Linked DNA regions of Macaca fascicularis. The protein of the gene in region 1 purifies or fractionates together with the protein of each later gene. This does not show direct contact. Links are inferred from orthologs where the notes say so. Each region holds a gene or a part of one and is shown in the gene's direction. Other genes may lie near its edges. The genes, in order: ENG, ACVRL1 and TGFBR2.

What was found.
Region 2: the proteins of ENG (region 1) and ACVRL1 purify together in Homo sapiens (affinity purification with western blotting; 3 studies listed by BioGRID and IntAct, with this or other methods). This does not show direct contact. The link is inferred for Macaca fascicularis from reciprocal best matches to the Homo sapiens genes ENG and ACVRL1.
Region 3: the proteins of ENG (region 1) and TGFBR2 purify together in Homo sapiens (affinity purification with western blotting; 3 studies listed by BioGRID). This does not show direct contact. The link is inferred for Macaca fascicularis from reciprocal best matches to the Homo sapiens genes ENG and TGFBR2.

The regions. Positions count from the first base shown.
Region 1 is NC_088389.1:16,176,932-16,180,311, forward strand, and holds part of ENG (endoglin), read left to right. Parts: intron 1-947; coding exon 948-1,085; intron 1,086-1,322; coding exon 1,323-1,361; intron 1,362-2,152; coding exon 2,153-2,269; intron 2,270-2,605; coding exon 2,606-2,863; intron 2,864-3,380. UniProt on the Homo sapiens protein: Vascular endothelium glycoprotein that plays an important role in the regulation of angiogenesis. Required for normal structure and integrity of adult vasculature. Regulates the migration of vascular endothelial cells.
Region 2 is NC_088385.1:58,748,187-58,752,459, forward strand, and holds the start of ACVRL1 (activin receptor type-1-like), read left to right. Parts: upstream 1-1,427; 5' UTR 1,428-1,622; coding exon 1,623-2,010; intron 2,011-2,212; coding exon 2,213-2,424; intron 2,425-2,626; coding exon 2,627-2,726; intron 2,727-3,088; coding exon 3,089-3,235; intron 3,236-3,836; coding exon 3,837-4,112; intron 4,113-4,273. UniProt on the Homo sapiens protein: Type I receptor for TGF-beta family ligands BMP9/GDF2 and BMP10 and important regulator of normal blood vessel development. On ligand binding, forms a receptor complex consisting of two type II and two type I transmembrane serine/threonine kinases.
Region 3 is NC_088376.1:17,786,350-17,789,994, reverse strand, and holds part of TGFBR2 (TGF-beta receptor type-2), read left to right. Parts: intron 1-191; coding exon 192-360; intron 361-3,645. UniProt on the Homo sapiens protein: Transmembrane serine/threonine kinase forming with the TGF-beta type I serine/threonine kinase receptor, TGFBR1, the non-promiscuous receptor for the TGF-beta cytokines TGFB1, TGFB2 and TGFB3.

The DNA.
Region 1 (3,380 bases):
AGGCGGGCGGCTCATGAGGTCAGGAGATTGAGACCATCCTGGCTAACACGGTGAAACCCCGTCTCTACTAAAAATACAAAAAATTAGCCGGGCGTGGTGGCGGGCGCCTGTAGTCCCAGCTACTCGGGAGGCTGAGACAGGAGAATGGCGTGACCCCGGGAGGCAGAGCTTGCAGTGAGCCGAGATCGCGCCACTGCACTCCAGCCTGGGCGACAGGGCAAGACTCCGTCTTAAAAAAAAAAAAAAGAAGAAGAAGAAGAAGAAGAAAATTTGTGATCCAACAGCTATTATTGCTTAGGACAAGGCTTAGTGCAAAAGTGTGCAAGTTCAAGAAGTCTTAAGTGGGCCAGGCATGGTGGCTCACATCTGTAATCCCAGCACTTTGGGAGGCCAAGGTGGGTGGATTGCCTGAGGTCCGGAGTTCAAGACCAGCCTAGCCAGCATGGTGAAACCTCGTCTCTACTAAAAATACAAAAAATGGCCGGGTACGGTGGCTCACGCCTGTAATCCCTGCACTGGGAAGTTGAGGCAGGTGGATCACCTGAGGTCAGGAGTTTGAGACCAGCCTGGCCAACATGGTGAAATCCTATCTACTAAAAATACAAAAAATTAGCTGGGCATGGTGGCACGCGCCTGTAATCCCAGCAACTCAGGAGGCCAAGGCAAGAGAATCGCTTGAACCCAGGAGGTGGAGGTTGCAGTGAGCCAAGATCAAGCCACTGCACTCCAGCCTGGGCAACAAGAGTGAGACTCCGTCTCAAAAAAAAAAAAAAAAAGAAATTTTAAGTGGTGTAGGATGATGACATCTAACAAAAATGAAGAGGGAGCAGGGCAGGGGAATGGCTGTGACTTGGGAGCCCTGGGTTGTGGTCAGTCCTTGGTGCTGGGGTGTGGCAGGCCACAGAGACCCCAGTGCCTCCTGACGGTGCCCCTCTCTCCCAACCCAGCATTTGAAGTGCACCATCATGGGCCTGACCCTCTGGGACCCCAGCTGTCAGGCCGAGGACAGGGGTGACCAGTTTGTCCTGCACAGCGCTTACTCCAGCTGTGGCATGGAAGTGACGGCGAATATGATCAGCAATGAGGTAAGAGCTGGGGCCAGAAAGGTATCAGGACCAGCCTGGTTGGTGCCCCCTCAAGTGCCTCCCTGATCCCCCAGGGCGGAGGTGTGTTTGGGAGAGCAGGGTGCAGAGGCTCAGAACATAAGACAAGCTTGGCCACTGGTTGGCTCAGTCTCCCCATCTGCAAAATGGGTGTATTGGGTGGGATACCCTCTGGGGTCCTTTCTGGCTCTGACCAGCTCCCTGGCTTTGTCCTCGCAGGTGGTGGTCAATATCCTGTCGAGCTCATCACCACAGCGGGTAAGATGGACAGTCACGTGCTAACCCACCTGGCCCAGGGGCTGCTGCTGGGCCGGGGCCTCTTCCTGGCTTGGGAGGGAGTAGGCTTCAGGAAACTCCTGGCAAGCCATGTGTCTGGCATCGGTCTCCCGTTCTATATGAGCGGAGCAGGACTGCTGAGGGTGACGCTCTCAGTCTCTCAAGTCAGAGGTCTTAGCACATACTGGCTGTGTGGCCTTGGGCAAGTCACTTTAGTTTTCTGGGCCCAAAGGTGGCCTAAGAAAGGACTCTGCGCCAAAGGGTGCCTCTGGGCAGCCAGTGAGGTGCCGTGTGGAAGCTCTTCACACAGCCTGGCAACTGCTGCCTCCTTGATAAATATTAGTTAAAAAAAAAAAAAAAAAGGGCCGGGCGTGGTGGCTCAAGCCTGTAATCCCAGCACTTTGGGAGGCCGAAATGGGTGGATCACGAGGTCAGGAGATCGAAACCAGCCAGGCTAACACGGTGAAACCCTGTCTCTACTAAAAAATACAAAAAACTAGCCAGGCGAGGTGGTGGGCGCCTGTAGTCCCAGCTACTTGGGAGGCTGAGGCAGGAGAATGGCATGAACCTGGGAGGCGGAGCTTGCAGTGAGCTGAGATCCGGCCACTGCACTCCAGCCTGGACCACAGAGTGAGACTCTGTCTCAAAAAAAAAAAAAAAAAAAGATGAGTCAGGCAACTCCACAGGGCCATGACGTCTGTTCCTCCCCACACCCCTCGCCCTCCTGGCTGGTGCCGCCGGACTGACCAAGTCTCCCTCCCGTCCTCCCCCAGAAAAAGGTGCACTGCCTCAACATGGACAGCCTCTCTTTCCAGCTGGGCCTCTACCTCAGCCCACACTTCCTCCAGGCCTCCAACACCATCGAGCCGGGGCAGCAGAGCTTTGTGCAGGTACCTGGCATGCCTGTCACCCCTCGGGCCTCCCAGCTCCTGCAACTTCCTCTCTGCCTTTCTTCCCACCATGACTCCAGAGGAGATGAGAATCCCAGAGTCAGGAGGGAGACGGCCTGGGTGCGTGGGAGAGGGAGACAGAGAAGGCATTGCTCAGGGATGCTGACAAGGATGTGGCCCTGTCCTCCTCCTCTGACCCACACAGGTCCATGCCTTTCCTTCCACCGTGAGGACTCAGGGGTGGGAACTCTTCATTCTAGCCGATATTTCAAGGCAGCAGGTGGGGTGGGGTGAAGAGCAGCTGCCCATGCCTCGTGGCCCTACCTACCCATGCAGGTCAGAGTGTCCCCATCCATCCCCGAGTTCCTGCTCCAGCTAGACAGCTGCCACCTGGACTTGGGGCCTGAGGGAGGCACCATGGAACTCATCCAGGGCCGGGCGGCCAAGGGCAACTGTGTGAGCCTGCTGTCCCCAAGCCCCGAGGGTAACCCGCGCTTCAGCTTCCTCCTCCACTTCTACACAGTACCCATACCCAAAACCGGCACCCTCAGCTGCACTATAGCCCTGCGTCCCAAGACCGGGTCCCAAGACCAGGTGAGTGGAGCCTGGGCCGGCCCCAGCTTCAAGTGGGAGCTTCTAGGTCTGTGGTTTGCAGGAAAGGACATGGCAGCCCACAGGGATGTGGGGCCAGCTGGTGAGGGGCAGAGCCTTAGTCAGGCATGTCACCTGGCAGTCTGGCTGCCAGCAGCACTTTCTGCCACCCGAGAGCTTTCTGGTGGGATTGCCATGTCTTGGGCACTGGCAGACTATGCAGCTGCCAGACTATGCAGCTGCCAGACTATGCAGCTGCAACTGTCCATCTATCCATCATCTATCCTTCCACTTATTCACCCGTCCGTCCATCCATCCATCCACCCTCCCACCCACCTGCCATCCCAGCCAGGCATCCACCATCTTCCCACCATCCCACCATCCCACCCAGGAATCTAGCCACCCACACATCCATGTAGTATGGTCACCAGTGTAATGTCAAAGAACAGGAGACCCGAGGGAAGAGGCAGACAAAGGACACACACTCCTGGCTTTCTGTATTTGCCAGTCACAACACTTC
Region 2 (4,273 bases), on another chromosome or scaffold:
AAACTTCTGAAAAAGTTCAACCCTAGTCAGCCATGGAAGGTCAAACATTCAGTGTCTAAGTGTGTTTCACTTCCCCTGCCACATCACTGGCCCTCCACCCACCCTTTCCTAGATGGCAAGGGGAGAGAAGGGGGCCAGGGAATGACTCTGAGAGGGCAGCTTATACTCTGGTGAGCTTGCAGAGAGGTTCCTCTACACCTGGCATGACCCGGCGCCATCCAAGCTTTGCGTGGTTGTTACAGCCTGAGGGCTCAGACATGGGCTGCCACCACTGGATAGGGACAGTGTGGGGAGAGCACTTGACTAGGAGTCTGGAAGCCTGGGTTGTACTCCTGCTGGTGCCAGTGAGTCCTGTCTGACCCGGGACAAGTCTTCTTCCCTGTATAAGCCTTAATCCTTTCTTCTGTAAAACAAGGAGCTGGATTTTGTGATCCACCTAGAATTCTGTCATGTGGGTGTCCCAGGCACAAGGAACTAAGGGTAGCAAGGAACTAAGGGCATATTTAAATAGCCTCTCCAGACCCTATGGCTGCTGCAGCCCACCCTGAAAATATGCCCTTAGATCCCTGCTGTGCGTGACTCCTGCCTGTTCTATCCAGACCCCAATCTAAACAATCTTGATTCCTGTTCCTGGCTTGGCAGGACCCTGAATGGCAGGAAGTGAAGACAGGAGCCTGTTTATGTTTGAGGCAGCCAGGGCTGGGGGGGCACTGGGAAAGGGTAGGCAGGGGTGAAGGCTGTGAGGGTGTGGGAAAGAGACACAGAACAGAAGGGGAGCTGCTGGAGAGATGCTCCTTCTACCCCAACTGGGTGCTCCCTGCGCCTCTCCCAACCTGCCTCCAGTCTGAGCTCAGCAGCAGGGGTGCAGAGCTAGGGTTTCCCCAAGCTCTCGGTCACTTAAACATGGCTCTCCACCCTTCACCTCTAACAGGATGGTTTCCATGGGGAAGTGAACCAGGACTTCCCTTGCAGGCCCCGCCCCAAAGCTAGGCGGCAGGGAGTAGGGAGGCGGCCTCCCTGCCTCCCCTCCAAAAAAAACTCTCTGTGATTTCCTCTGGGCGGGAGGGAGCCACAGCTGGCGGCTGTCACATTTTGCAGCTCTTACTCCACCTCTCTTGCTCCTCTCTGCAGGGACCATGACCTTGGGCTCCCCGAGGAGAGGCCTTCTGATGCTGCTGATGGCCTTGGTGACCCAGGGTGAGTACTGGGGGAGCAGTTAGGAAACAGGAACCTGGATAGAGAAAGGGCTATCTGGGCCCAGATCAGCTCTGCCTGGGGCTGAACTTGAGAAACTGGGGAGAATTTAGGAGCTTGACTGGAGAATAGAGGAGAGTGAGGCTCCATTAAACTCAGCCCCCAGTTACCCCAGCCCTCCTTTGCTCTCCTCTGGGTCCAGACCTGCAGGCTGGAGCTCTGTCAGGCTAGGGTGGAAGCCTATATGTGGGGCGGAGGGAGAGCAGGTGTTGGCAGGCCAAGCCTGGGAGCGCTCTCAGGACTGGGGCTGGGGGCGCAGCCCAGCCTAGAACTGGGAGGGGAGAACCTAGGAGCCAGGAGGGGACAGAAGCCTGCTTCTCAGTGTCAGCTGCCCTGAGGGGAGGGCTCTGAGGGAAGGATGACTGAGGATGGAAGTAAGGGACCAAAGCTTCAAGGTGTTTGTCTGGGGGGTCAGACGAGAGGGACAATGGGACAGAAATGGGTGTCAGGCTCAGCCTGGGGGAGCTGGGCCCAGAGTGGCTGAGCTTCCGGTGTGTCTCCCAGGTGACCCCGTGAAGCCCTCTCGGGGCCCGCTGGTGACCTGCACATGTGAGAGCCCACATTGCAGGGGGCCTACCTGCCAGGGGGCCTGGTGCACAGTAGTGCTGGTGCGGGAGGAGGGGAGGCACCCCCAGGAACATCGGGGCTGCGGGAACTTGCACAGGGAGCTCTGCAGGGGGCGCCCCACCGAGTTCGTCAACCACTACTGCTGTGACAGCCACCTCTGCAACCGCAACGTGTCCCTGGTGCTGGAGGGTACGTCCAGCTGCCCCAGCACTCCCTCCCCATCTTCTCGGCCCCTGCCCTCCCTTCCCTCCTTTCCTCTCATGCTCTGGCCAATAAAGGGGCTGGGGGCGGGGGGACGGGCAAGACTCTGGGATTTAACTGGCAGAATGGTCTGCCCAAGGTGGGGGAAGTTGACCTAGTGCAAGCTGAGCCTCAATGTCCCCTCCCCCAGCCACCCAAACTCCTTCGGAGCAGCCGGGAACAGACAGCCAGCTGGCCCTGATCCTGGGCCCCGTGCTGGCCTTGCTGGCCCTGGTGGCCCTGGGTGTCGTGGGCCTGTGGCATGTCCGACGGAGGCAGGAGAAGCAGCGGGGCCTGCACAGCGAGCTGGGAGAGTCCAGTCTCATCCTGAAAGCATCTGAGCAGGGCGACAGCATGTTGGGGGTACGGGCCTGGGGACCTGGGACACAGGGTGGAGTGGGGCAGATAGCAACTGCGGAATCAGAGGGGTCATCCAGAGAGTAGAGCCGGTGGGGAGCTGGGCGAGTGAGGAGCTTGCAGTGACCCAGCAGGTCCCAGGTTGAGGATGGAGAATGGGGCTGCGGCTGGTTAGGGCAGCTTTTGAGTGGCCTCTCCATACCCCCAGGACCTCCTGGACAGTGACTGCACCACAGGGAGTGGCTCGGGGCTCCCCTTCCTGGTGCAGAGGACAGTGGCACGGCAGGTTGCCTTGGTGGAGTGTGTGGGTGAGCAGTGGGTGAGCCCGGTGGATGAGGACCAAGGGCTCTCATGAGCCTTGAGGGGTGAGGGAGTTCTTGGCTTCCGGAATCACAGGCAGTGCCAGGCCTGGGTCAGAACTGGAATTCTGCTGGGCAGGGAGTGGGCTGGAGACGGGCCAGGGCTAGGTTCTTTCTGCAGGACCGGGGTGGAACGAGAGGCAGCTGGGGGTGGCCTGCCGCTGGGTTTGGGTCTGGATTAACTTAAACCTAAGGGTCAGGGGTTCTGTGGGTGGGGTGGGCGAGGGAGGCAGCACAGCATCAAGATGAGGGGCTCCTCCAGGGCTCTGTGTGCCCAGTGTGTAACCCTCACCTTCCCCTCTGGCCATCAGGAAAAGGCCGCTATGGCGAAGTGTGGCGGGGCTTGTGGCACGGTGAGAGTGTGGCCGTCAAGATCTTCTCCTCGAGGGACGAACAGTCCTGGTTCCGGGAGACTGAGATCTACAACACAGTGTTGCTCAGACACGACAACATCCTAGGCAAGGGGAGGGGCCGGCTGTGCCAGGCCTGGGGCTTTGCCCTCCTGCACTCAGGGCTCGAATTCACAGACCTCCAGACATTAACAGAACCCTGAAGGACTCCCAGCCCACCTGCAGCACCAACCTCTTTTTTTTTTTTTTTTTGAGACAGGGCCTCGCTCTGTCACCCAGGCTGGGATGCAGTTGTGCAATCTCACTGGAACCTCAATCTCTTGAGCTCAAGCGATCCTCCCACTTCAGCCTCTTGAGTAGCTGGGACCACAGGCATGTGCCACCATGCCCAGCTAACTTTTTTATTTTTTGTAGAGACGAGGTCTCCCTATGTTGCCCAGACTGGTCTCAAATTCCTGGGCTCAAGCAATCCTCCTGCCTTGGCCTCCCAAAGTGTTGGGGTTACAGGTGCAAGCCACTAAGCCAGGCCCAGACCCAACCTCTGACTCCAGCTCTGTCTCTGACCTAAGCCACATCAACCCCCACCCCAGACCTTGCTTAGCAGTGACCCAGCCCATTCCCTCTCCCCCGACCCCACCCTGACCCTGACCACTCCAGCCTCCCTTAGCCCCAGCCCCTTGGCTGAGTCACCCGACCCTTCTGTGCACAGGCTTCATCGCCTCAGACATGACCTCCCGCAACTCGAGCACGCAGCTGTGGCTCATCACGCATTACCACGAGCACGGCTCCCTCTACGACTTTCTGCAGAGACAGACGCTGGAGCCGCATTTGGCTCTGAGGCTAGCTGTGTCCGCAGCCTGTGGCCTGGCACACCTGCACGTGGAGATCTTCGGTACACAGGGCAAACCGGCCATTGCCCACCGTGACTTCAAGAGCCGCAACGTGCTGGTCAAGAGCAACCTGCAGTGTTGCATTGCTGACCTGGGTGAGCTGGGCAGGGCAGGGGCAGACCCTTCACAGGTGGGCACAGCCCGTGCTCTCTCCTCTCCTTTGCCTATGGGCGGTGACCATGATTGGCGCTTGAAAACAGAGGTGCATGTTGTCTCAGTTCTCCTCTGCAAGACCGCATGAGTTGTCTGAACACCC
Region 3 (3,645 bases), on another chromosome or scaffold:
CGTACAATGGATTTTATTACAAATTGCATACATGAGGGAGTTCTAATCTGATGTGAAGGAATTATTTTGCCTTTCTTCAGATTCATTCCATGACATCAAATTCATTTGAAATTGCGTAACATCTTCAGGAATTCATTGGCAGGCTGCCTGGCAGTTGGATAATGATTTAATATATCTTTCTCTCTCCTCAGTTAACAATGACATGATGGTCACTGACAACAATGGTGCAGTCAAGTTTCCACAACTGTGTAAATTTTGTGATGTGAGATTTTCCACCTGTGACAACCAGAAATCCTGCCTGAGCAACTGCAGCATCACCTCCATCTGTGAAAAGCCACAGGAAGTCTGTGTGGCTGTATGGTAAGAGAGCCTTTGAAGAAGTTATTCTTTCTTTTCCCCTTTTTACATAATGTATTCTCGTAGTACACACAGTCAGTGTATCTCTGTCCCCTAAGTGTAAACACCTGTTCCATTTCCCTTTCCTTTAGACCATCTCTCTTTCGATTATTAAATGTAGTTTCTAGGGTGTTCTCTGCATGTACGTGTACGTTTATATGGGTATGTCATGGTATATAAAACGATCTTTAATATAGTAAATCTGGAAACTCTTTCTTGTATCAAGAAGAGGGATTTGCCACTTAGTAGGCATTTAACCGACACCTCCTCACTACCCCACAGTGAGACCAGGAGCTTTGTTCTCGTGAGGCAATCTCAGGTCTGGAAGAAGACGTGATGAAAGGTTGGCTGTTGGAAAAGACAACCACCTGCCAAAAATGGGGAATCTACTTGGAGAACCAGAAAAACAACCTATTTTTTTAGTCAGAAATCCTGGTTATATCATTCATATAACCATTGGGCTAGGTATGACTTATTTCTCGGCTCAGAACTACATATTTCTTCTTTTTTTTTTTTTTTTTTTTTGAGATGGAGTCTTGCTCTATCACCCAGGCTGGAGTGCAGTGGCACATTCTTGGCTCACCACAACCTCCACCTCCCAGGTTCAAGTGATTCTTCTGCCTCAGCCTCTCAAGTAGCTGGGATTACAGGTGCCCGCTACCACGCCTGGCTAATTTTTGTATTTTTGGTAGAGACGAGGTTTCACCATGTTGGCCAGGCTGGTCTCGAACTCCCAACCTCAGGTGATCCGCTCGCCTCTGCCTCCCAAAGTGCTGGGATTACAGGCATGAGCCACCTTGCCCGACCAGAACTATATATTTTTATTGGATCACATTTTCTACTCTCTCTCTCTCTCTCTCTCATTACCTCCAACTCATATACACATCTCAAATAGTAATTATACATACACAGTGGATACTCATGAATCATCTGATTAATTCATGATTATAGATTGTGAGCATGAACAAGAAATAAACAACCTTGATCTTTAGAAGAGTTGCAATTTTGCAAAACTACATAAATTCATTAATGAGATATGACATTTTGCAGACTTATTCTGATGTTTTTAATTTATTGGCCATTTTTTAAAAAGTAACTTATGTGGCTCCTGACTAGTTGACAAACAAGAATGTAAACCCAAATATCTCTCCCCCTTTTTTGGGAATAAGTCATTTGAGACCCCCAGACCTTGTAAAGCTAGCCTGATGATAGATCTGGAAACTTTACCAATTTCTGTACATACCAGGGGATGAACTGGTTTCTTAAGAAAAACTGAAGGAATGTTAACAGCAAAGACCTGTCATGACGTACTTGCCAATATGATGTGATACCTGTCCATGTCCACTTCTAGGTAACGCTGTCAGAGAAAGGATTTGGACAAAGAGTGTGTTCAGAGGAGAGGGACCAGTGTGGTTAGAGGCCTAGATATCATGCTGTCTGAGGAATGGCCTGGGCAATTAGACGTGGTTAGTGCAGTGAAGGGAGATCATGGGTTCTGCTGATGAAATTGAAAGGCTCCCAGGTAGAAAATCTAATAAACATATTCTGCATAACTCTGAAGGGTAGAGGGAGGATCCGTAACATTGGCAAGAGGGCAGACTTGCGCTCAGCATAAGTTCAGACATTTTCACAATCATGGTTTCCCAACAGCAGAACAGGCTTCCTTTTCTGTAAGCACCAAGTGAAGTTCAGGAGGGGCTAGATGACCATGTGTCAAATAGATTGCAGGAAAGATTGAGACACCAGACTAGATGGCCTCAAAGCTTCCTTCCGTGGTTTCTCAAATATCTACGGTGGTGTGAGCGCTTACTTCTGCCACCCAAAAAGGCTCTTTTAATTAAGATTTTTGTTTTTCTGACCAGTAATACAAGCCCAAATCATTGAATGTGAATCAAGTCTCTCTACAATAGAGGCTTTGCTAGCCTCAAAAAAATGTGAGCATGTCGAAGAGAGGAGGCCTCCCTGTTTTTTCTGTGTCCCAGCTACAAAGGATAAATACAGTGAACATTATTTTGACCTGTCTTGGCCAAAGAAAGTTCTCCTGTGAAGCCAGGGCTGTTGCTAATGAGAAGGGGAAGTGTAGGGGATGCTATAGTGCCCTCCTTGATCCTCCTTCATGACCAAGGCACTCACTCCCTGGGAGTGTTGGCTGTTGAAGGTTCACTGCTGAGTCTTCCCTCCAGTGATGGGAGCTGCTTCATTCACGTTGGACACTTTTCATGGGTATCCAGCATCCCATGGCTAGTTGATGCAGAGAAACACATTCCTGGTTATTTTGCCGTAATGTGGGACATCTTTGAAGGACCGTCTCACGTTCAGAGCTTCCAAGGCATTCACTGAGGCCTTTGCTGCAACCTGCATTATGGCTTAGCTTTTTCCTTCTGTGCAATACTGCTGCCTTTAGTCCCTTACAGATGCATCTCCAAAAACCTCCTGCTCAGAACTCACAGCCTCAAGGTCTGTTTCCAGGAAACCTAAACTAAGACAGGAGGCTACTGTAAAAATAGCCAGTGTGGAAACCGAAAGGCTCTACTATGATTGTAGATTTCAGTGGGGTTTTTTTTTTTTGATCAGTGTTAGTGTTTTTTTCATTCATTCATTCATTCATTCATTTAACTAATGTCAGTTGTGTGCCCATTCCATGTAAAATGCTTAAGCTTCTTCCAAGGATAGAAATATTTTATAACCAAAGTTATTATTATTATTATTATTATTGAGAGGGGGTCTCCCACTGTTGCCCTGACTGGAGTATAATAGCGTGATCTTGGCTCACAGCAACATCCGCCTTGTGGGTTCATGAGATTCTCCTGCCTCAGCTTCCCAAGTAGCTGGGATTACAGGCGCACACCACTATCACCCGGCTAATTTTTTTGTATTTTTAGTAGAGATGGGGTTTCACTGTGTTGGCCAGGCTGGTCTCCAACTCCTGACTGTGTGATCCACCTGCCTCGGCCTCCCAAAGTACTGCGATTACAGGCATGAGCCACCATGCTCAGCCTCCAAAATTAATTTTATCATGTTGGTTCTTCTTTCAGTGGAAATTGATAACCTCTTCAATGGCTAAGAGTAAATGTTGTGGGACAAAAAAAGTCCGTATTTACTTCTTTGTGTTTACCTTTCCTATGCTCAGCTGTATCCAAAAAGGGTTTGAAAAGTTAGCTGTGCCTGGCTGTTAAAACAGGAGTGAGTGGAGAAGGCAGTTAAGGACTTTACTGGGTCTCAAGTGTTACAGTTGTTTTCTCTCTGTGA